Stegostoma tigrinum: one gene and its partners. The protein of the gene in region 3 interacts with the protein of the main gene of each other region in a biochemical or structural test. Links are inferred from orthologs where the notes say so. Each region holds a gene or a part of one and is shown on either strand. Other genes may lie near its edges. The genes, in order: tyrosine-protein phosphatase non-receptor type 1-like, bdnf and ntrk2a.

Region 1 (7,259 bases), on a different chromosome or scaffold from region 3:
AGCTCTTCCTAACTCGATTCAATTTTTTTCTCCCCTTGTTCATTCCCTTCTCACTTAAATCTACAATTTCTCTGATATTTTACATTAGTTTCAAAATTTCTAGTTTGTGGGCTCCTCTCTACCATGGAGATGCAATCCTTTATATGTCCATTCCCCATCAGGGTGGTCACCAGATTCTCCACTTCTTTCTGGAAAAAAGGGATGAACTGTCCCCATTCACCACCACCCTCCTCCACCATCTTCACTCTGCACAACTTCTCAAACTCCTCTTACTTTTTTCAGGTCAGAAGAGTTGCCATAGGTACCCTCATGGGCCCTGGGTATGCCTGTTTCTTTGTAAGGTATGTGGAACATTCCTGGTTCCAGTCAAATCCCAGCCCCCAACCACAATTCTTTCTCTAGAATATTGATGATACCATTGGTGCTGCTCCCCTCTTTCATCCAGAATTGGAATAGTTTATCAATTTTGCTTCCAATTTCCACCCAGCCCTCACCTTCTCCCGGACCATCTCAGACTATGAGATAACAAAGCGTAGTGGCGGATGAACGTAGCAGGCCAAGCAGCAGAGGAGCAGGACACCAGCTCTACACCTTGTCCTGTGATGCTGCTTAGCCTGCTGTGTTCATCCAGCTCTACACCTTGTTATCTCAGATTCTGCAGCACTGGCAGTTCCTATTACCACATCTCAGACTATTTCTACTTTTGGGGAATTGGCTGTCAACATCTATGATAAACCGACCAACCCACACAGTTACTTTGACTATACACCCTGCATCCTATAAAGACTATTCCATTCTCCCAGTTCCTCCATCACATCTGTTCTGAACATGTCAAATTCAACAAGGGGATAGCCATGTTCTTCCTCAACCGAGGATTCCCCAGCACGGTAGCTGACAGGGCCCTCTGCCAGGTTTGACCTATCTCCCAAACGTCAGCCCTCACCCTTCTCTTTCCTACCACAACTGTGATTAGGGTCACCCCATTCACCCACCTACTATCCCAACAACATCTATATCCATTTGTGCCACCTCCAGTGGGATGCCAACAGCAGACATATTCCAATCCCCTCCATTTCAGCCTCCTGCAAAGACCATTCCTTCTGGGACACACTCGTCCACTCCCCCTTCATGCCAAACACTTCCCCACAGCCCCATGGCACCTGCCCCAGCAACCTGAGAAGGTGTAACATCTGCCCATTTATTTCCTCCCTCCTCAGTATCCAAGGACCCAAATATACCTTCCAGGTGAAGCAGTGCTTTATCCACATTTCACTTAATCTAGTCTACTACATTCACCGCTCACAATGTGGTCTTCTCTAATTTGGGGAAACAAAGGGTTGACTGGGTGATTGCTTCAGAGAACACTTACGAGCTGTCCACAAAAAAAAGACCTTGAGCTTCTGGTTGGCTGCCATTTCAATATACCACCTGTACCACCTTGTTACCTGGCCAACATCTTGGTCTCAGGCTTGTTGAAGCAAAGCTCAACATAAGCTGGAAGTACGTTACCTCATTCTCCACTTGGGAACTCTACAGCTTTCTGGGCTCAATATCAAGATCAATTTTAGAGCGTGAGGCACCTTCTCCCATGTCCTTACCCCAACCCTCACACATCAGGCCTTGTTATCACATGGTCTACTATTACAAATAGTCCCGATTAATATCTATATCTCTTAGGATATTCATTATTCACTCCTTTGCCTGTCCAATTGTTCTTCTCTCTCCTTGGGCTCTCTCCCCACCTACTATTTACTCTTAGCCCCTCTCCCACCATACGTTCTACATGAAAACCAACTTTTTCCTAGCTATCAGTTCTGAGGAAGGGTCAATGGACCCAAAACGTTAGTGCTCATTTCTCTCTAGATGCTGCCAAGCCTGTTGAGCTTTTCCTGCAATTTCTGTTTTGTTTTTGATTTCCAGCATCCACAGTTCTTTCAGTTTTTATTTCATAATTTTGTAGATTTTTTAGGTCTGGTTAGTACAAAGGAATGCACATAAGCGATCTGAGGCCTTGCATACTTCACTAGGACAAAACATTTGTAAGTTACTTACTTGTCCACCCAAGTTTAGGAAAGTGAAAAAACCTATCATGCTAAATAAATGCAACCAAGTTCATTTTTACATCCTACAGAAAGAGACTCAGAATTTGCAGATCATCGTTTCATAGTTGCAACAGTATTTTCACGAAGAGACATCCTCATGCTCAGGCAAAAGAGCGTCAAGACAGCGTGGGAGATATGGGGAACGATCATTATTAGGCTTGGTCAAAATTAATTCAAAAATTAACCTTATTATAACCACCAATAATTACCGCTAATTAGTTACTGTTGTAAAATGAAACCAGGATATGATTTAATAACTGAAGTTGGCAAACGAAATCAGGGAACAATGTATTTCATGAATGTTACCGGATGCTTTAAAAAAGCAAATTCACCCTCCAGATAGGAAAAAACCACCCTCGGCAACTACAAAGACCATTTGCCCATGCTGCTCTCAAAAGTCGGTGTGAGTCACTTTATTACCAAGACAGTAGACTGACAGTTTCTGGTTATAGTGTTTGCACAATAATTTGTTGGAGTGGTTGCTGACTGAACTAACTAATTAGACAAACCCCGCCACAATCCACGAGCGGTTCCCACACCGACGGGACATGATTAACACACAGAATCAAGACAGACACATAAGCTGCCAATATACAGACCCAGGTATTGCACCCACCGGTCTACACTTCCTTCCCGGCAGCATGTAACTCGAACCCCCGGGCTGCGGGGTGGAAGCTCCCGAGCCTCGCTCACTCGCCCTCCCGATCCCGGACACTCGTACTACCCTCACCTGGTAAAGCATCGCCCAGTTGCCCTGTTTATCGATCTCCGCGAACTCCTGCTCCATGACTGCAAGCGCGCTGTGCCTGTCTCCTCTCCACTCTGGGCCTCACGCTAACGCTGTAAATTCCCCTTCGCGCTCCGCTCCTACCACTTCATCTCAACTCCCTCGCAGCAGGAGGGCTTCGACCACACACCGGAAACACACACCATCAACCCATGACTGGCACCAGCCCCTACCAATCAGAATACGGAACGCAGGACGGCTTTGCGTGTTGCCTAATGGGAATTGTAGTAAACTGTCCAGGAAATGACGTTTCCTACCAAATCCCAGAGGACTGTGCGGACTAGCGGCCCGAAATACATTGCTCAGTCCGAAAAGTCAGATATTGCTTCATAAAAACGGGGAATTGTTTACATTGGGTGCAGCTCCATACATCCGGGATGCTTTGCTCCTCGATGTTTATACCGCATCCACGGAGGGCTTCGCGATGCCTACTGGGAGATGTAGTTCTTCAATCTCCGATTGTATCCCACGGGCCCTGGTGGCGGGCCAGCTTGAAGATTCTGGAAAGAAAGTCCAGCCGATAATGTGTTCGGGGCTTCGTTAGAGCATAACTGTGTCTAAATCCAAACCAAACCTGAGCTCATGGCAAAGTAAAGTCTGTATGCCGGTAGGTGGATCTAACAGAATTGCCTGAGCTAAGAAACAGTAACCACAATAATGGCAAAGTGATGTTCTTGTATCATTGAACGTTGCTAATGATATGATCAAGTTCATTAATCTCTACTTTATCCATGACGTAAGTGTCCTCCAGGCTGACAGGAAGGATTTGAAAGTCTTTCAGGGTTAAAAACATTTAGTTTTAAAAGAATTATGAAACAATTTGCCAGGTAGCGGGACTGTTTGGAAAGTCCTGTTGAAGACATGAATAAATCAACAATTTTGACTGATCCCCGCGTTGTGTTTCTTTCAGAAAGTTACCCAAGATCACTTACCTGCTGCAGCGTTTCAGTGAAAGGCCAAATCAGTTATTTCTTAACGTAAGCCTAAGAAACAACATGCTTATTGGTTGCTTGGGCACTATCTTCTGCATTCAGTATGAAGTTAAAAATTTCTGGCCATAAACTCTGTATCCTCACTTTATTTCTTTTTCGTTTCAGATTTTTCTCTTTGTCGAGGAAAGGTGATCATAAATGTTAGACCTGAAACATCACTTATGTTTCTCTGTACAGTTGGTGCTTGACCTATTTCAGTTTCAATTTCTGATTTTTTTTAAGTTGCTCTTATCTCTGGAGAGGTACAAATTGAGAGAAAAGGCCACAAAATTGTGACAAGACCATTGAATTCAAATGGTCCTCTCGTCTAAACGGTGGTTCTTCTTAGGAAACTAGACAAATCATGAAAGCTTCATAAATATATTCATCATGAGATTGTTATCATTGATTGTAAGAGATTGAAAAACCAATTTAAAAAAAAAACTTGCAACTCAAAGTTGACGCCCTGAAAGTTTCTGGATATATCTTACTATATTGTTCTAATTTCCAGCTCATTTTAGTATATTATTCAACATCTCTAATCTTTTCTTAATCAGTCACAATTCAATATTTCACCCAACCCCATTCTATGGCAGAGGGACAAATTGCCCATCCCATGAAACTGAAAACTCAACATGATGTGGTTTGTGAGAAGTGTACTATTCTAATTGAACAACTAATTATCTCTTAACCATGATCATTGCATTAGAGGTTACAGAGAGAACCTCCACGGTTTCTTGCTACAAAGATTGAAAAGTATCGCATTAACAAATGATTGTATTCAACTTTAAATGTATGGAAATAAAATACAGTAATTACTGATGATGCAGCCATTTAGCACATAATCTGAATTTTGTAATTTATAGTCTGCAAGACTTATGAATAAAAGTGCAATCAAAGTAATACCATACTTTGGTGATTTGTTCATTGACCATCTTGATTTTTACCAGTGAACCTAATAACATTTTTGTAGTTAATGTGGGCCACAAAATGACTTCTGTAATACAGATGTTAAAGTTGAGATATTAACTCTCTATCCAGGCTAAGAAATCTCTGGATGAACTTCAATTTATCCATTTCCCCAGCTGTGCAGATTGGCCTACAACAGCATTTTAAATAGAAACTGTCCTGTCATCAAGAAAACTTTGATCCAATTATTTCCTAAGTATAGATCATGATAAAAATACAAATGGACAGTTAAGTGTCTTTGATCTCACCATTTTAGTTGCTGACCATTCCAGAAACAAAGGCAACTGACCTCTGAAATTCTTTGGATTTTTCAATGCTAAGAAAATCATATTAATATGTTTGATCTGTAAGTTTTTGGTCAGTTAATCAGATTTTTAGTGTAAAGTTTTTTTGTCTTTCAGACCACACTCTAAGGATTTTACAGAAATTAAAGCAAAATATGTTCATTCCTTAATTCTGGAATATGTAACCTAAGATATCCAACATTTGGTTGGAAGGGCACTTCCTGCTCTCGAGTATCATCAGTGTGCATGAAGTTAATATTTAAAATGCCAAAACGGTGACACCTTACTTCATTTCTTGAAAGAGACATTCAAAATATTAAGGAATCTCAAACCCTTCTGCTCAATGCCTCGCCTCATTGCAACTAGGCAAAGTCTCCACTGGCAAAAACAGAAATGATGACTTGGTCACCATCCAAAGGCTTGGTAAGAGTATCTATCTGGTTGGCAAGGCATAACTAGTGGGGTGGGGGGACACAGGATTCAGTGCTTGGGGCCCAACTAATCACAATCAATGTCAACAATTTGGAAGGAGGGATAGAAAATACTATGACCAAATGTATAGATGACACTGAAATAGGTGATAAAGTAAGTTCCAATGAGGAAGCTTCCAATGACCCTTCCTCACTGGACCTAAAGCGTTAACTCTGATTTTACCCTTCACAGATGCTTCCAGACCTACTGAAGTTTTCGTTAACGTTTTGGGTCCAGTGACGAAGGGTCATTGGAAGCTTCCTCATTGGAACTTACTTTATCACCTATTTCAGTGTCATCTATATGTTTGGTCATAGTATTTTCTATCCCTGCTTCCAAATTGTTGATATTGATTGAGAGTAGTTGGGCCCCAAGCACTGAATCCTGTGCCCCCCCCACCCCACTAGTTATGCCTTGCCAACCAGATAAAGATACTTTTACCAAGCCTTTAGATGATGATCAAGTGATAATATTGCGAGATTATTAATCTAGAAATTAACTGAAGTTTGGGGGCTCAGATTCGAATCCTACCACAGATTTGGAGTTTTTGAAGTATTTGGAGTTAATCTTCTGATGATCACTAAAGCCATTGTTAATTGTTGGAAGCACCTATCTGAATAACTAATGTCTAATACCCTTCAGGGAAGGAAATCTGCCATCCTCATCTGGTCTGACTTACACGTGACTCTAGAGCCATAGCAATGTGGTTGACCCTCTGAAATACTCAGTTGTATCAGTCATCATGAAGTCTCAACAAAGAATTGAAACTGAAAGGACCACCTGGCATTGACCTAGACACTGGAAAAGGCAATAGCAGAAATGTCCCTGTCAACTCTGCAAAGTCCTTCTTAATCCCAGAAATGAGCAAGCTGTCTCATACACCAGTCAAGCAATAGCCTGACATACTCATGGAATCATACTTTACAAACAACATCCCAGATACCACCAAAGCCTCCGCTTGATTTCCCCGATGTAGAGGAAGCTACACCGAGTACAATGGATACAGTATACCACATTGGCAGATGTGCAGGTGAACCTCTGCTTAATGTGGAAAGCCATCTTGGGGCCTGGGATGGGGGTGAGGGAGGAGGTGTGGGGGCAAGTGTAGCACTTCCTGCGGTCGCAGGGGAAGGTGCCGGGTGTGGTGGGGTTGGAGGGGAGTGTGGAGCGGACAAGGGAGTCACGGAGAGAGTGGTGTCTCCCGAAGGCAGACAAGGGTGGGGATGGAAAAATGTCTTGGGTGGTGGGGTCGGATTGTAGATGGCAGAAGTGTTGGAGGATGATGCGTTGTATCCGGAGGTTGGTGGGGTGCTGTGTGAGAATGAGGGGGATCCTCTTGGGGCGGTTGTGGTGGGGGCGGTACCTGTCCGGCTTCCCTGGACCGACCTATCCCCTCCCTACCTCTCCACCTATACTCTTCTCTCCACCTATCTTCTTTCCATCTTTGGTCCGCCTCCCCCTATCTCCCTATTTATTCCAGAACCCTCTCCCCATCCCCCTCTCTGATGAAGGGTCTAGGCCTGAAACGTCAGCTTTTGTGCTCCTGAGATGCTGCTTGGCCTGCTGTGTTCATCCAGCTTCACACTTTATTATTTTGGATTCTCCAGCATCTGCACTTCCCATTATCTCTAGTGCAAAAGATTAGGTTGAAGCATTCACAGCAATCTTCAGGCAG
Region 2 (8,058 bases), on a different chromosome or scaffold from region 3:
ACTCGGACTAATCACATTCGTTGTGAGAATTTCGGGCAATTCCAGCAAAGATCATTTTTTAAAAGAAAATTCGATTCAAAAGAATATTAGAATCTGTGAGTAGGTGGACATCGTGACCAGGCCGGTGAGGGGTGCTCTTGAACTGTGTTTGGAACTGACCCACTAATTGGCACTGCTTCTTAGATGTCATACGCCCACATTTGGGATTAATTATTGCCCAGAAAGTTTACATTGCAGCACGGGGTGGGGGGTGGAGTTAGAGAAAAAAGTATCGCCCTTAGTAAAATGTATGAATATTTATAGGAGTTTTAAAACCCACGCGCCTGCCTGCTATTCCACAGTTTCTCTCTGTCCAGGCTTTAACGTGTAATTAGCTGCACTTGACATAATTATGTATTCGTTATGAATTTGCACTTCTCTCTGAAAGATGTTGACACCAAACCTAAAGGCTAAGTGGGCCGTTTTGAATCGAGACCTCATTAAAACGGACTCATTGCAATTCTAGCACTGTGACTTTTAACATCGCGGAAAATTCCCAGTGGAACCTGCAAATCATCAGATCGGGACTCACGCCTACATACGCTCCCGTGGATAAACTCAATAACGATAACTCTTCAACAGTGAGGTTCTTCTTATTTCTTTGACGGGCTCCTAGAGAAACAATACTGCACTACTCTTGACAAGCTCCAGGGTTTAAAAGCCCTTCCTGCTTTTCCTGGTGCGAGCCCGGCTCCTCAGTGTACACTCTGTCAACAAACCATTGGGTTTACAGACGACCTGAGCAAATCCCGTTCTATACACAATTCAGAATTCTTCTACGACCATCGTATCCAGGTCGACCCCGGACAATAACAGCCTGAATCAAAATCCACCCTCACATGCAGCAAACACTCAGAGATGCTAAGATGGAGAGAGGCGATTCCTTCGCTCTCACTTTTTTTTCAGAACTGTTCCGCTTTCAATGCCACGGGAAGGAACCTGTTTAGTTGCGGTAGCGCAGCTGGTGCCCAAAGCTGGAAGAAACCCTGTTTTGACGGGGAGTTACTTTTTTTTTGTTGGTTTCCTTTACGATCTGGTGCCAGGGGACCTGGGTGTAACAGTAGACACAGCGGGCTGAAGTGGAGCGCTGATGACAGCAACACGCTTAGGTGGGGACCTGCTCAGAGCGAATCCAAACTGCGGGCATCACCGTCACAGGGACCGAGGGAGAGAACCACAGAGCCTGTGGCAAGGCTGCTCCTCACGTTGCCATGGCAACCGGCATCCAATGAAAGCCTCGTCTCTGCTGTCTCACTGGCAACCGGCGAAGGGAAAATACTTTTCCTCGTCCTGAATGAAAAAGAAAGGACCAGTTCCCCCTGTCTGGCTTAATGTGGGAGCGTTAGCACACGGGGTAGGAGCGGGAGCACGCTCACCGGGCCGAGCGGCCTGCTCCGCTTCCCGTTTCTTAAGGTCTAAGATGGAAATCACCTTTCCCTTGCTGTGAGAGATAATGGGAACTGCAGATGCTGGAGAATTCCAAGATAATAAAATGTGAGGCTGGATGAACACAGCAGGCCAAGCAGCATCCTCCTGAGATGCTGCTTGGCCTGCTGTGTTCATCCAGCCTCACATTTCCCTTGCTGTTTTGTTTTGTGTAGGACCGGGGTGTTCGGGTGGGGGGGTGGGGAATTAGCTGGTTAAATCTAGTACATTGGATGTTTGGGTTTCTATCGGGAAAAGGGTCTACACTCTCACCGCCTGTACCCTGATAGTAAGGGCGATATCACAAAATGCCCCCGATTTCCAATAGCCCATCCCCTCTCCACACCGTCAATCCCTGTGGAATGAGTCTAGCTCCTGAGGCAAACTTCACACGCTGCATTCTGGAATACAGTCAGCCCAGAAACCAGAAATGACAAAAGAAAGACAAGGAGAGTTGGTCTCTTAACTTCAGCAGCGCGCGGTCTGTATATACAGTTATGTCTAGTGACCAGTCGCACCCAACCCGCCCACCCCAGCGAACAATCAAAATCAACATTCACACTAAAGGTCACCTCTCTTGAGGCACAGCACATCAGGAAGGGGCCGGAGACCACTTCCTAAAGACAATCGGTTACTGTTTATTAAATTATCCTTCTGCCCCCGTCGGCTACGGTGATCTGCAGCTTCACATTATTGTAACGCTGGGTATAGTTGAGCAAATCCCTTCCACACCCAAACCAAGCTCCAGTCTGAAACATGTTTAGTGTGTATGTGTGTGTGTGTGTTTGTGTGAAATAATAAGTTACGTTCAACACCGAGGGTATCGAGCGGTCCCTAACATTCTGCAACTGCATTTAGCTTTGGCTGATACCGAGTTCTCTCCAATCGGGAGCCCTGCCTTAGACCCTTACCTGCATTGATCACTGTCAGGGCAACTGCAAGGATTTTTGTTTTGATGGGGGAGGGTGTTGTGGGGATTTGGGTTTTTGCTGAAAACAGCGCCGTCTGCTGCTGCGAGTCTCTTGTGTTGTGAAGTGTAGGTGTGCGGTAGTATGCAGCTTCTGCGGGGTAGTCCTTCCCAAATAGCCAGAGCACCAGACCTCCTGGAGTTAGAGTCCCTTTCTCTATCCCTGCCTGGAGCGCCCGCTCGCTAAACAGCCCTTGCTCACTGACACGCAACTTTGAACCTAACCTTCTCCTGCACCTACAGTTCTCTCTCGCAAGCCGGGCACAGGAAGAATATTGGAACAAAAACACTTCGCCTGGCTCAGAAAATGCGATGAACTCTCAGAATGAAGCAGGCTAAGTGTGTGTGTGTGCGTGTGCGTGTGTGTGTGTGTGTGGGACTTGACAAGAGAACCTTCCAATCTCTGCAACATCACTGATCTCCCTCAACCAAAGTAAGCTCAAAATGCAAGTGGCCCCTGTCCGGGATACACAGGGAAGATCCTTACTGCTAGCCAGATTGGGCGAGAAAACAACACGGCAGATGCTGTTCACTTACCCTGCTATGTGCAAACGGCATCACATTAAACCATCCTTATCAACCCTTCCATTTCACAAAGTTACAATACAGTGACCTTGCCTGTTCGCAGGATATTTTCCTCACACTCTGCTTGTACCGTAATAAACTTCGCCCAAGCTGTTAAAAAAAATTCCAACCATCAGCTCTGCGCCTCAGCTGGTCTCGTAGTAACGCTGTCAGCTTTGAAAGATTTTTTTTATAGATCTAACCCTCTCCTTCGTGGCAATCACCGTCTGGTGACGCGATATCTTTGGATAGAGTTGATTTTTCTTATCCCCGAGGCCGAGACAGCTCAGGCTGTCCCGGGTGCTGAGAGACACACCTGAGACTCGCGTCAGGACCCCAGAAGCAGCTAATGGTTCCCTTCCTCCGACCCGCTACCCTCCTCCCCAAATACTCCATAACACTTCTATTTTCAGCACTTGCGACTTCATATTTGTATCAGATGCGACTTACCCACGCCGTGTCACGTGAATATGGCTTTGCCAGTCAGTCTGCTCCCCCCCCCCCTCCACCGCGCCCGAACCCCAGTAAGATCTGATGATCAGCTCCTTGCGGGGTAAGTCACCATACTGTACTGAACTGCACCCCCAGAAACCCAACACCCGGCGTTACCATCCAGTTCTTGCTGCCCTCTTTATATTTTCAATTACCAAAAGATGACAAGACACACCTCCCGGCGGGACTTGAGCCCTCAAACCTTCTGGTCCAGAGGTAGAGACAGTGTCACTGCACCACTGTCGATATCTGCCTCTGATCGCCCACCAAATCTCCAATCAATTGTAGATTTCCAAAGGAATGAGTTTAACTTAACTGGGGGGGGGGGGGAGTGGAGGGCGTATGCGTGTGTGTGTGCGGGCGATATCCCCCAGTGGTGTGAGAAATGCTCTCTCACCTTCCAATGGTAACGTGGCGTTATTAAAAAAAATAAGGGCGATCGCAGTTACTGACCAAAACCGCCCCCTCCCCAACCCCTCCACCCCTCCCTGACAATCCGCTTACCATCGTTAGTAACCGCCCAGGAAAGCGAAGAGGATTAAAATCCCGTCTCTCCAGTAGATGCTGGAAGGTAATGCGCCTTGTTTGAAGTCATCATGTGAACTTCTGCTTGCTCAGTCAATCGCCCACTACTTGTGAGTTATGAATGTAATAACTCTTTGCAATATCCGCCGCTGAAATCCCCGACACCTTAGTGACTGCAAGGCACACGTACGCAGAGGTGATTTAAGCTTCTACATTTACGCAACACATTCGCTCAGGGAGACGTTTTGGGGCTTACGTGATTCTAATGAATTAAGGAAATAATTGCTTTTGGAAATAGCGGGCTATCAGATCCTATATGACTGGTCTTTTCAGAACACTCAGTTCAGACACAGTGAGGACAGTATGCTGGGTTAAGTTAACGCGTCTGATTTTGTTTTTTAAAAAAACAGAACTTTTTTGCCCCTGTCTCGAAAAGTAGTTTAACTTAACTTCTTGCACACGTGGTTATCTTAACTATCGAGAACTATCGAGTTCAGCACAGGATCGAAGGGATTTGCGTAGAACAGGTAAGGGAGCACTTTTGTCTTTCGAAACCTCTGTCTCACGCACAAAATTTCTGGGGAAGTGCTAGCGTTTCCGTCTGGTTAAGTGTGGCTACCCGAAGCTGTAAGTTAGCAATGTCTGCTGCACCAAGCTATTGAAATCATCATCTCTTCCAGACGCACCGTAATGTTGATCGCTCTTTTGCAAAGAGAAAACACTTTTATTCTTTCCCCCTACCTGAAACAGTTCATCATCAACAATGCAAATTGTATTATCGATGACCACAACAGGGCCACAACCTGTTAAACTTGCCAAACCGAGTGAAAAAAATAAAGCTCAAATCCTCTGGTGTGTCTTCTTCAACCGCAATGCCTTTCAGTTGCGCGCGGACACAGAAAGTGGATATCATTCCAACTTACCGTACACACGCACAGCTTTTGTTGCGGGTTGTCAAACGCGTGGCTCCTCAGCTTATGCACCTAGCCTTGGAGGTTTACTGCAAGAGTCAAGCCCAAGAACCAAATAACAACCGAAAGTGACAGATACCCTACATCCAAGATGACGTGCATTTAAATATGAGTAATAAACCATATAGACGTGTTGGTCTGTGGATGGCTTGGATGCTTTACAAAATGGTCCATACCATCACTTCTTACACATGTCCGTGCTTCACTTACACTCAGCACTAGAAGCTGCGCAGAGTTCAGATGATAACTTTGAAACAGACAAGTTATAAACAGCCAAGCACTTTTAAACACAATTTAGCAGCATGCTCATGCATGCACTTGTTGCGTGATTGAACGCACTCTCAAGGAATAGACGACTGTGGAATGGACTACAAAATGCAGACAAACATAGAAGCAAAACAGATGTAGGTAGCACATAATGTCGATAATTAAAGTACCTGCGAAGGTGCAACTGTATATCTGATGTACGGCACCCCGGATTGGGATTCAAATGCGTTCCTTAATAGATAGAGACGCAAAGGGCAACCGCTGCAGACAGAGGGCCAGACAGAGGAGAAAGCAAATTCAGAATAAGACACAGGGAAGCGTACTGAATTATTCCAGTGCTTTCAGTGAAAGGTTAGCTGTTCGACATAGTGACTACTTTTCAGCTCGATCTGTACTTGAGCTCTAGAATAGGCTCCCAACTCAAAGGTTAACTCTCAATTTATAAAGTATAACATGGAAGTATAACAATAAATGGCGTTGAGTTTTTCTTATTATTTTCTGAGAAAGGCTGTCTGAGAAAAGGTGCTCTGGACGTTCTGGGCAGAGGGGTCGTTGATGTTGATGTTGTGTAGGTGACAGTTGTGAGGTAAAGCCTTCACATGCAAATATTTCTGGCACTGAGTTAAAGTAGTCTCCCCAACCGGGCAACGTGACTTGCAGCGTACAGGCAGCAGTGACCCATGAAGGAACTAGTTATAATGTTCTACCTGAACAGGAAAATACAAGTTGGTCAGTATCCGCGAAATTTCAACTTGCAGCCCGAGTAAACGCACAGTTGTGAGCTATTACTGAAGCTTGGTCACAGATTTTATTTTTTTTGTTTGCTTTGCCCGGAACCCACATTAGTGGGAAACTTTCCCACAGAAGCCAGATTCAACAAATGACACTCGTGCACAATGTTGCAATCTCTGGTTAAAACGTTGCTTCGGAACCTCACACTCCTGGCTTCATTCTCAACCTGCCTTGCAGCCCAGCTGACCACCAGACTCAGCCTCGATTCAAGAAAGGACCGAGACCCAGTTCTCGTCAGGCTGCTGAACGTTCCAGAAGGATTGGCTCAGGTTTATGTATTTGTAGTACACTTCTCTTTGCAGATCACATCTGAAAGGTGACAAGCAGGTCTCCAGTTAACACTTACAGGATGGTGCGTTCTGACGGCTCTTGTGGAGCAGTGGTAGCGTCCTTACCTCTAAGCCAGGAGGCCCAACTACTCCAGAGGTATGTCATAATATCTCTGAGCAGGTTGATATGGAAAACGTCTATAAAGAACGTTCCTGCTAATCTAAACATCTGTTCCACCTAACATAGACAACAGTCGATCTTGCAAATACCCAGAGGGGGCGTTGTCTGAAATGGTACCATACCGTCATGGTATTACAAGGCTCTATTGCCTTGCTAGGTCGGAGATGAGGCACTAGCTCATTACCTTTGTTGAGGCTTGACGCCGCAAAACACATTTTCACAAAGATTTCCCAGGAGGTTGAGTAGGAATGTTCTCCAGAGAGAGCTGCAGCCACAATTAGCCAGCCTACATTTGACCAGTGACTGTGTGGTTACACACGGATTTCATTGACTCTCCAGGCTCTCTCCACAAGGTGTAGAAATTCAACCTTTTCCCTCTGTGGATGAGCTGTGATCTATAGCAGATAAAGGACAACCTGTCTATCCCCCAGAACACAGATCTCCGAGAGGTCCGCCTGGAATCCTGCATTTATATCCCACCGTTTACATCCTGAGAAAGTTTTGTTGTACTGCATTGTCAATTTCTTTTGAAATGTAGTTACAGTTGCGATGACATGACTCTGCACAACAAATCACAAAAAAAGTAAAAATGGCTTCTCTCCTTGGCTGTTACAGGTCGCCAATTGGCTGGATCATTGGCTGGTATAGGTTGAAGTCAAATGTTGTCCAGGATGTCTTCATCCTTCCTTTTCAAATAGAACAAAGAGTTCTTTTATGCCCATCTGATCAGGTAGATCATGACTTGCTTTGTCATATATTCTGAGCCACATACCCTCCCTCCTCACAGCATGGTTCCCATAGTCCCACAGGCTCCAGGCTTCATCTAACTGACTTTTCCCCCTTAAGCCTTTCACAGGATGTGGGTGTCACTGATGGCCAGCATTTGTTGCTCATCCTTAATGACCTTGAACTGTGTGGCTTGCTAGACCATTTCATTGGGACGTTAAGGGTAAACTGTATTAATGTGGTTCTGAAGTCACGCCATAAGCCACACAATGGCAGATTTCCCTCCCTGAAGGACAGGAGTGTATCAAATGAGTTTTTACAAGAACCAATGACCATTACACACACACTATTAATGAGAATAGCTTTCAATTCCAGATTTATGAACTGAATTCAGCTGCTGTAATGGGTTTCAAGTCAATGTCCCCAGACCATTAACTTGTGCCTCTGGATTAGTCATATGGTGACATTACTATCCATGTATCTTTTACACGTGGATGAGTCTTGGCTATGAGCATCAGTTGCCATTTAAACGTAATATTACAATTGAGTGCAATTTTTTTTCGTCAAGTCCACCCAAACCATTTGCAGGAAGCAGAAATGTATTCACTCAATAACAAACAGGGGCACAAATCTTTGGGAGACATTTCCATCCTCAACAGATTGGTGTAACACTTACACCATAATTCTGGATGATATCAATTGAATAAGTAAGAGTTTGGACTTCTCAATGTCCTGGCCTGCAAGACTCATGCTGTCTTACCAATGAGAACCATCAAAAGAGCACACTGCCTAACTTGTGACAATCTCCTTATGGCTAAAAATTATTAAAGTTTTTTAGAT
Region 3 (7,837 bases):
ATTTGACATGAGAGGGCTATCTGTACTCTCAGCTAATTCCGAAGAATCGATTTTGACCCAGCGGTAAAAGTGACAGTCGGGGCCAAGGGATTTGCTTCGGAGTTCTGAAACCCAGTGACCACAATCGGCTGAACGCGAATCTTGTTGGGCCCGACACCGTCTTGAGAGATGGGTTTTAAAGGATTTCTCATCACTAAAATATATTAAAATGACAGATTAAAATCACCAAGGCACCTGCGATCATTCCTGCTTATTCACTGAATAGAAATGTTCACCAGATATGTTTTAAATCATTTATTTTGTACAACAAGAAGACATCGAAAGGAACCTGTTTGCATACAGTATCCGGGGCGGCAACGCTGCAATATTCATGAACAGTCCTGGCTGTAAGCCGCAGCTGACCCTGAGTTAGATCTGTGCTACTTGGGCTCAAACTGAAACTTGTCGGGATGGTGGGGGAGAGTGTAGAGGAGCGGAGTTGAGGAGGAACGTTGTGGATGGAGAGAGGCTGGAGGGACAGAATGCGTTGGAAACAGTAGAAATGGGGGTGGTGGTGGGAGAACATGGAGGGAGAGAAGATGGAGAAAATATAAGTCAAAGTGTGGAGAGACAGCAAGGAGGGCGTGAGTGCCGAGGACTAGGTGAACTTAGTGAAACAGTATGCAAATAAATTAAGTGTAGAAGTAAAGGACGTTGAATCAGAGAATGGAATAGCAGGAAGTGGAGGAAGATAGAGTAAATGGATAGAATGTGAAGGGCGGAAGAGTGCGAAAAGAGAAAATGGATGTAAAATGTGCGAAGGAAGAGAGAAGGGAAGGACTGTGGATTGCTGGAGTGTCGATGGACCAAGTGAAGAAGTATAGAATGGGACAGAGTGCGGTGATAGAGACTATGACCCGGATAAAGTGTGGAGATCAGAGTGGAGAGGGGGAAAGTGTCGAGAGAGAGTAACGAAAAAGGCTGGAGAGAAAGAGGCCGGAGGGAAAGAAGATCGAGAGATTGGAGTTGGATTTTGGAGGGGGTGGAGGGAAGAGGGAGGCTGATGAAGGGACAGATTATGGAGGGAGGGGTGTATGGAGGGAGGGTGAGGAGATGGTGGTAGGCGTAGAGGGGGTGTAGAGTGGAGAGAATGGGAATGGAGGGAGAAGGTCTGGAGGGAGAGAGGGTTAGGAGAGGATATGTAGGGAGGAGAGGCAGAGAGGTTGCGTTGTGGAGGGAGGGGAATTGAAGGAGATGGTGTTGGGGAAACTTTGATCGAGCGGAGGTCTGTCAGCTCCGTGAGAAGAGAACGCGCGGATTCGATTCCGGGATGAAAGCGGCGCCAGTTAAAGCCATCGTTCTCTCAGGAGGGTAAGAGGATATCATTCCTTTTCGCAGATTCCGAGGTCAGTTTGAAAAGTTTTCAATTTCAATCAGAATGTAAACAAACAACAACGTCTCCTCCTTCCACCGGAAACTTGCTGAATACTTGGAAAGCAAAATAAACCAAACTGTTATCGCTGGAAGGGAAATGATGACTGCTTCGGAGATCTCCCTGTAGTTGATACCATTTGAATCATGAAATAATTCAGAAAGAGGCAAACAGAAACGGAAGGCAGAATCAACACGATTGGAAGCTGTTTTTTTGTTTCAGTGCAACAAGTACTTTGGTCCCCTAACAGTAAGAAAGATCCTCAGGATAGGGAGATGGCGGGGCTAGAAAGAGTATGTGGAGAGTAACAAAACTTATTCTATGTAGCCTCAGTAACCATAAAACCTAAAATGTGTTTTGAAAGCTGGCTGGTGTGGGCGGACGGTAATCTCCAACCTTCAAACATTCATTTCCAAATAAGCAGCATTGCTATCGAGACGCATCGTGATTCTTTACGTTCTAATATGAAATGGTCTTCTTTTAGACACCAGCGAAGAAATATACTATTACGTTAACTAAATTAACTTAAGTCGAGTCTAACGTGAGCTCGGTGTGAAAATGATTGAAAGCCTGTCCACAACCAATCTCTCTTTTGAGCTGGAATATTTGCAGGTTCAATTGAGTTTGTGGGGGGGAGCCTTTACTGCTCGAGGCGACAAACACTTGGTTTTAAAATAAATCGGAACCGTGTTTTCGCTAAGGAGAAGTTGGATTCGGTTTGTGAATGAAATTCCTAAAGGGATTCTCGCTATTGGTATCTGTTTTTTTTCGATTTAAAAACAGGACTTGGAGAGAGTGCAATTAGGAGCTATCTCGGATGGGTCGTTATATTGCTATAACGGTTCATCTTCAGCTCGGTAATAAACACAGTGAGAGATGGATTACACTGATGGTGTTAGTCGGCTAATTTCAAAACAGCTCTACTGACAACAAGTAACTGAGATTTCGCATATTCATTGCTACTGGCCGGCCTGCCCAGTCGGTACTCACATTTCTGTGATGTTCTCCATCTCTGCTGCGGACGGCAGCACCGGGAAAGCCACGATGCCGGGGTCAGTGCAGGTGATCCTGGAACTGCTACATCTGCAAAAAGCAGGACAGGCGAGAACCAAGCTGCTAAAGGCCAGCACCGTGCCGAGCAGCGCTAACAGCAGACTGGCCACAGTCTTCCTGAGGCTAGCGCAGCAACACCTCGGAGATGAGGAGGCCATCGTCAGCTCGTCTCTGCTCCACACTCCAGATCGGGAGCGACTCCCCCGTAGAATAAAAAAAACAGGCGCAGATCCCGCCAGCAGAGTGTGGTTTTGTATTTGGTGTAAACCTGGAATAATCCGTAGATTGCCAATAGAGAGCAGTGCGGTCTCACTGACAGCAATCTGCAGCATATACAGATAAACAAGGTCTTTAGAACGATGTCTCCCGCTTGTAAATCCCTGTGAAGGAGCTTTCTCTATCTGTCAGTTCTTGGAGGGGGCGATCTGAAGTGTTGTTAGCTGTACAGAGGGAGCCGCTGCGCTGTGGAACCGCATCCACTATGTGAGGTTCCGGGAGAGCTGGAGTGAGTGTGTGCTCCCTTGGCTGTGGGGCATTCTTCTTGCCGCAGTGGTCACTCTCTCTCTCTCTCTCTCTCTTTCTATCAGTCAGTCCCTGCCACCAACGTCCCCCCACCCCCCACCCCCCAAACTGCCTGATGCTGCCGGGGGCTCTGTCCGGGATTTTTTAATCCTCTCCGCCCCCACTCTCCCTCCCCCTTCCCAAACCACCACCACCTCAGTAAACTATTCGATTTTTTTACATCCAATTCGGGAAGCTGCTGTACATGACGTGCGGCTGACGCACGAAAAGGGATGAAGGAGAGGTTTTTTGAACCCCCCCCCCCACAAAAAAAGAAAACTATAAAAGAGGGAAGAAAGTAAAGAAGCCGAGAAGCAGTGAAATGTGATGGTCGTTGGCCACGAGGTTGGAAATGTACTGCCCACCAGGGCAACTGCAACCAGCGACTCGGATCTCCTGCTCCAAACCAGGTCGCTACTCCCAGCGCAGTACCCTGAGCCACAAAAATCAACAGACTGAATAATCTGTTCTCCCGACTCTTCTCACAAACACCATCTAATAAACAATCTAGCTGCAGTGTTTGTGGGGAATGTGTAATCCGGAAAATTGACTCCCCCCCCCCCCCCCCCCACCGTTAGAATTCGCCTGGAACAAGCAGTTCACGTCAAATCTCCCAGTGCTGCTGTTTGTTGGACTGTCGCTGATCTAATCTTAAGGACAATCACGTCCCAGACGGTGCAAGTCCGGTGAAGAAATTTGATTTCAAAGGTTTTGAAGGATTTGAATTGCACTGCCCTTCAAAGATGCATATCTGTGTATGTGCATTTTATATGTATATGCGTGAGTGTAGATTTGTAGCCGTGCACACTTGTATGGGGATGTTTATCCATATTTGTTTGCATGGAGATATTACTGTGAGCTGATGTGCGTGTTTATATCTGGGTGTATATATCTATATATGTATCTGCGGGGGGGGGGGGGGGGCGGGTGTATATCTGAATGTGGGTCTGTGTCCAAGCGTGTGGATGTAAATACGTACGTAAGTATATCTGTGTGGGGATATGTATATCTGAAAGAGTGTGTATATATTGTGTGTATGCGTGGTTGTATCTATGGCTGTAGATCTGTGGATGTGTGTTTGTATTTGTGTGTACACCAATGTATGGGTGTGTGTATCTAAGTGTTTATATGTGCATGTGTACATTTCCGTGCATGTGTTAATTTTGGTACCGCAGCAATTGAGGCTGACACGGACATCACAATGTTCGACGTAGATAACAGCCAGTCGAATTGCTAAAACTGCTAATATTACCCGCAGATATTGAATTACAGCCTTGGTCAGGAATGATACCATGAATTCACATACAGACGTGATCGAATTCCTACATTTAGCTCATTGACTTTTAAATGGTGCCTAATAAAAGAACATGTCTGAAAGGCGTTTGGGTTATTGCAAACAGTTATTCTTTTCCTCCAAGTCCGTTGAGATAATACAAAAATTACAAGCTCACGTCCTTGTATAAGTCAACAGCTCTTTAACACTGATCTTCTCATACAGGAAACACAGTTGTCCGCGCATAAAACTCAACAATGTTCATAACTGAATGGTTAATAATTTTGTCAAAAGTGTTGCCCATCTCTGCCCTCCCGTTCTCTCTAGTTGTCTCTGTCAATCTCACTACGCACCCACGTCCGTCTCTCACACACGCGCAACTCCCAGTGAATTTTCCCGCAGTGATTTCGCACTTTGCAGCAATCCAACAAACAAGCTCTTTACGAGCTCCGCCGTCTGACGAGCTGGTCTGACACCTCCCGGACAATAGAGCAACTGCAGCTTCCAAAAATAACCCCCACTGCAGCCCCGACCGTCTGCGGTAAGGCACATCTTGCTCGCTGTGCCTTCTTCCCGGGGACAATTTCTTTAAGCGACAATCCAAGCTGCAAACCACATTTAAGCAGGTGCCTACGAAATATTGTTTAAAAAAAGACGGAAGCAAGTGAATTGCTCAATTTCTAAATCACAAACGAATGATCATTAAACATAAATTAACACATAAAAATGATTCCAAGAGTTCTAGACGACATCCACATTTCAATATGTATTTGGAAGGTGCAAGCAACAATTTAAATTCTAACAGGAAACGATCTTAAGATGTTTGGATCTAGGTATCACCTGCGATTCAAGCCTACATCGGAAAAGAGGCAAAAATGAAACAAGCCGTCAGATCTACAAGGTTGGTCAGGTCACAGGTTTTGACCTGTTAACATCAGGCAAAGGAATCTTACAATGTCAAAAACTTCCAAGAAGTCACCAAGTGAATAAATAATCCAATTGTTTAACGACAATTTTGATTAGGAGAATGGGTAAGGCTGACATTTTTGGGGCTGCAGATGTATGGCTGAGATATTAGGAACAAACACACAACACTTTAAGGGAAATGGATAAATTCGTAGGAAATTGTTCAACTCTGACCTACGTCAGGTATTCTATGACGGAGACCTCATCCATCCCTTTGTTATTTCTATACTGAACAATTCAAATGTTCTCCTTGTTAAGTTGCATCATAACATTTTACTTTAAATAGAGTGAGGTGACTGGCCTCGAGTCTAATCCAGCCAGAATGGGAATTGTACCTCGCGTTGGTGAATTCATTGTTGGTGTTGTCAAGGGAGGCAGAAGACGGGAAATTATAGGCCAGTTAGCCTAACCTCGATCATTGGTAAGATTTTAGTCCATTAATGAGGATGAGATTGCAGAATACTTGGAAGTGTGCAGGGTAAAATAGGGCTCAGTCAGCATGGCTCCATCAAGGGGAGATCATGCCGGACAAGTCTATTGGAATCCTTTTAGGAGATAACAGAAAAGTTAGGCAAAGGAGAATGAGTGGATGTCATCGATTTGAATTTCCAGAAAGCTTTTGACAAGCAGTCACAAAGGAAACTGCGAAATAAGAACCGTGTTAGGGCATGGTATTGACATGGATAAAGGATTGGCTGACTGGCAGATGGGAGAGAGCAGGTATACACGGATCTTTTTCAACATGACAGCATGCGAGTAGTGGAGTTCCAAAGGGTCATGTTGGGACCACCACTATTCACATAATACATTAATGATCTGGTCAAAGGAACTGATGGCATCATTGCTAAGGTTGAAGATGATGCAGAAATAGGCAGATGGGCAGATAGTGTTGAGGATGCAGGGAGTCTTCCAAAAGACTTAGACAGACTAGGCCAATGAGCAAAGAAGTGGCGTGTGGTATATATTGTGGGTAATTTTTTTGTGGTACATTATGCACTTTCCTAGGAACTTCATAGAAAAAGTACTTAACAGATGCCTTACAGTGCAGAATGAGGTCATTTGGCTATTGAGTCTGCAATGACCCTCTGAAGAGCATCCCACCCAGACCCAACCCCTTACCTTATCACCAAAACCTTACATTGACTGCGGCTAATCCACTTAGCCTGCACATTTTTGGACTGTGGGAGAAAACTGGAGCACCTGACTGAAGTCCATGCAGAGATGAGGAAAACATGCAAACTGCACACAAACTGTTACCCAAGGCTGGAATTAAAGTTAGAAGGGTTTTGCTGACTAGACCAGCATTTGTAACCACTTCCTAAATTCCCAGAAGGCAGATGAGAGCCAATCACATTCTGCGGGCTGGAGTACCATGTAGTTCAGACAAGGTAAGAGTGACAGCTTCCCTCCCTAAAGGACATTAGTGAATCAGATGGGCCTTTTTGACAATTAATGATGTATTCGTTATCATCATTAGAATCTTAATTCTAGATTTTTATTCAATTAAAATGTCACTATATGCATAGCAGGATTCAATCCTAGGTCCCCAAAACATTACCCAGGGCTCTCTGGATTAACAATCCAGAGATAATGCTACTACTTCAAAATGCCCCCAGCACTATTAGGCAGCAGCGAGCCACCGTGCTGTCCCTGAGGCAGAAAGAATAAAGGCATGGATCATTTTCTAGATGGGAAAAGTCTTCAGAAATCTAAAACACAAAGGAACTTAGCAGTTCTAGTTCAGGATTCTCTTAAGGTTAACATGCCAGTTCAGTTGGTAGTTAGGAAGGTGAGTGTAAGAATACAAGAGCAGAGATGTAATGCTGAGGCTGCATAAGATTCTAGTCAGACTGCATTTGGAATATTTTGAGCAGTTTTAGGCCCCGTATCTAAGGAGGGGATCCAGAAGAGGTATGCAAGAATGATCGTGAGGATTAAGGTCTTGTCATATGTGGAGCAGTTGAGGTCTGTGCTTGATGGAATGTAGAAGAATGAGGGGGGGAATCATTCAAAGTTGCAGAATACTGCAGAATGCCTAAATAAAGTGGGCTAGAGAAGATTTTCCAATAGTAGGAGAGTCTAGGACCCAAGGGCACAATGTCAGAGTGAAGGGACAACCATTTAGAACTGAGATGAGGAGGAATTCCTTCAGCCAGTGGGCAATGAATCCATTGAACCCATTGCCACAGAAGATTGTGGAGGCCAAGTCACTGTGTGTATGTAAAAAAAGAGATAGATAGGTTCTTGGTTAGTAAGGGCCTAAAGTCAAGGGTCACAGGGAGAAGGAGGAAGAATGGGGTTGAGAAACATACCAGCCATGACTGAATAGTGAAGCAGAGTTGATGGGCCAATTGGCTAATTCAGCTCTTACATCTTATGGTCTTAAGGTCTAAGTTCTTTAATAATACAATATCATTCAGACAAAGTTGTTCAGATAATCCATTGTCTTACCCTCATAATAAATGTTCATTTTAGTAAAATCAGTATGACTGGGACTGTTGCTATATGTTAGATGTTTAAGCTAATCAATACCTCTCATATCCGTGCTTAATTTTAACAAATCGAGGAAGTAA

The links.
Region 1: the proteins of ntrk2a (region 3) and tyrosine-protein phosphatase non-receptor type 1-like form a complex in vitro, tested with the Homo sapiens proteins (2 studies listed by BioGRID, with this or other methods). The link is inferred for Stegostoma tigrinum from reciprocal best matches to the Homo sapiens genes NTRK2 and PTPN1.
Region 2: the proteins of ntrk2a (region 3) and bdnf form a complex in vitro, tested with the Homo sapiens proteins (3 studies listed by BioGRID). The link is inferred for Stegostoma tigrinum from reciprocal best matches to the Homo sapiens genes NTRK2 and BDNF.

What each region holds. Positions count from the first base shown.
Region 1 is NC_081372.1:40,246,856-40,254,114, reverse strand, and holds the start of tyrosine-protein phosphatase non-receptor type 1-like, read right to left. Parts: upstream 3,006-7,259; 5' UTR 2,890-3,005; coding exon 2,833-2,889; intron 1-2,832. UniProt on the Homo sapiens protein: Tyrosine-protein phosphatase which acts as a regulator of endoplasmic reticulum unfolded protein response. Mediates dephosphorylation of EIF2AK3/PERK; inactivating the protein kinase activity of EIF2AK3/PERK.
Region 2 is NC_081370.1:53,221,574-53,229,631, forward strand, and holds the start of bdnf (brain-derived neurotrophic factor), read right to left. Parts: upstream 3,082-8,058; 5' UTR 2,990-3,081; coding exon 2,969-2,989; intron 1,192-2,968; exon of another isoform or gene 1,046-1,191; intron 1,032-1,045; exon of another isoform or gene 935-1,031; intron 1-934. UniProt on the Homo sapiens protein: Important signaling molecule that activates signaling cascades downstream of NTRK2. During development, promotes the survival and differentiation of selected neuronal populations of the peripheral and central nervous systems.
Region 3 is NC_081356.1:59,861,474-59,869,310, forward strand, and holds the start of ntrk2a (neurotrophic tyrosine kinase, receptor, type 2a), read right to left. Parts: upstream 3,086-7,837; 5' UTR 2,797-3,085; coding exon 2,402-2,796; intron 1-2,401. UniProt on the Homo sapiens protein: Receptor tyrosine kinase involved in the development and the maturation of the central and the peripheral nervous systems through regulation of neuron survival, proliferation, migration, differentiation, and synapse formation and plasticity.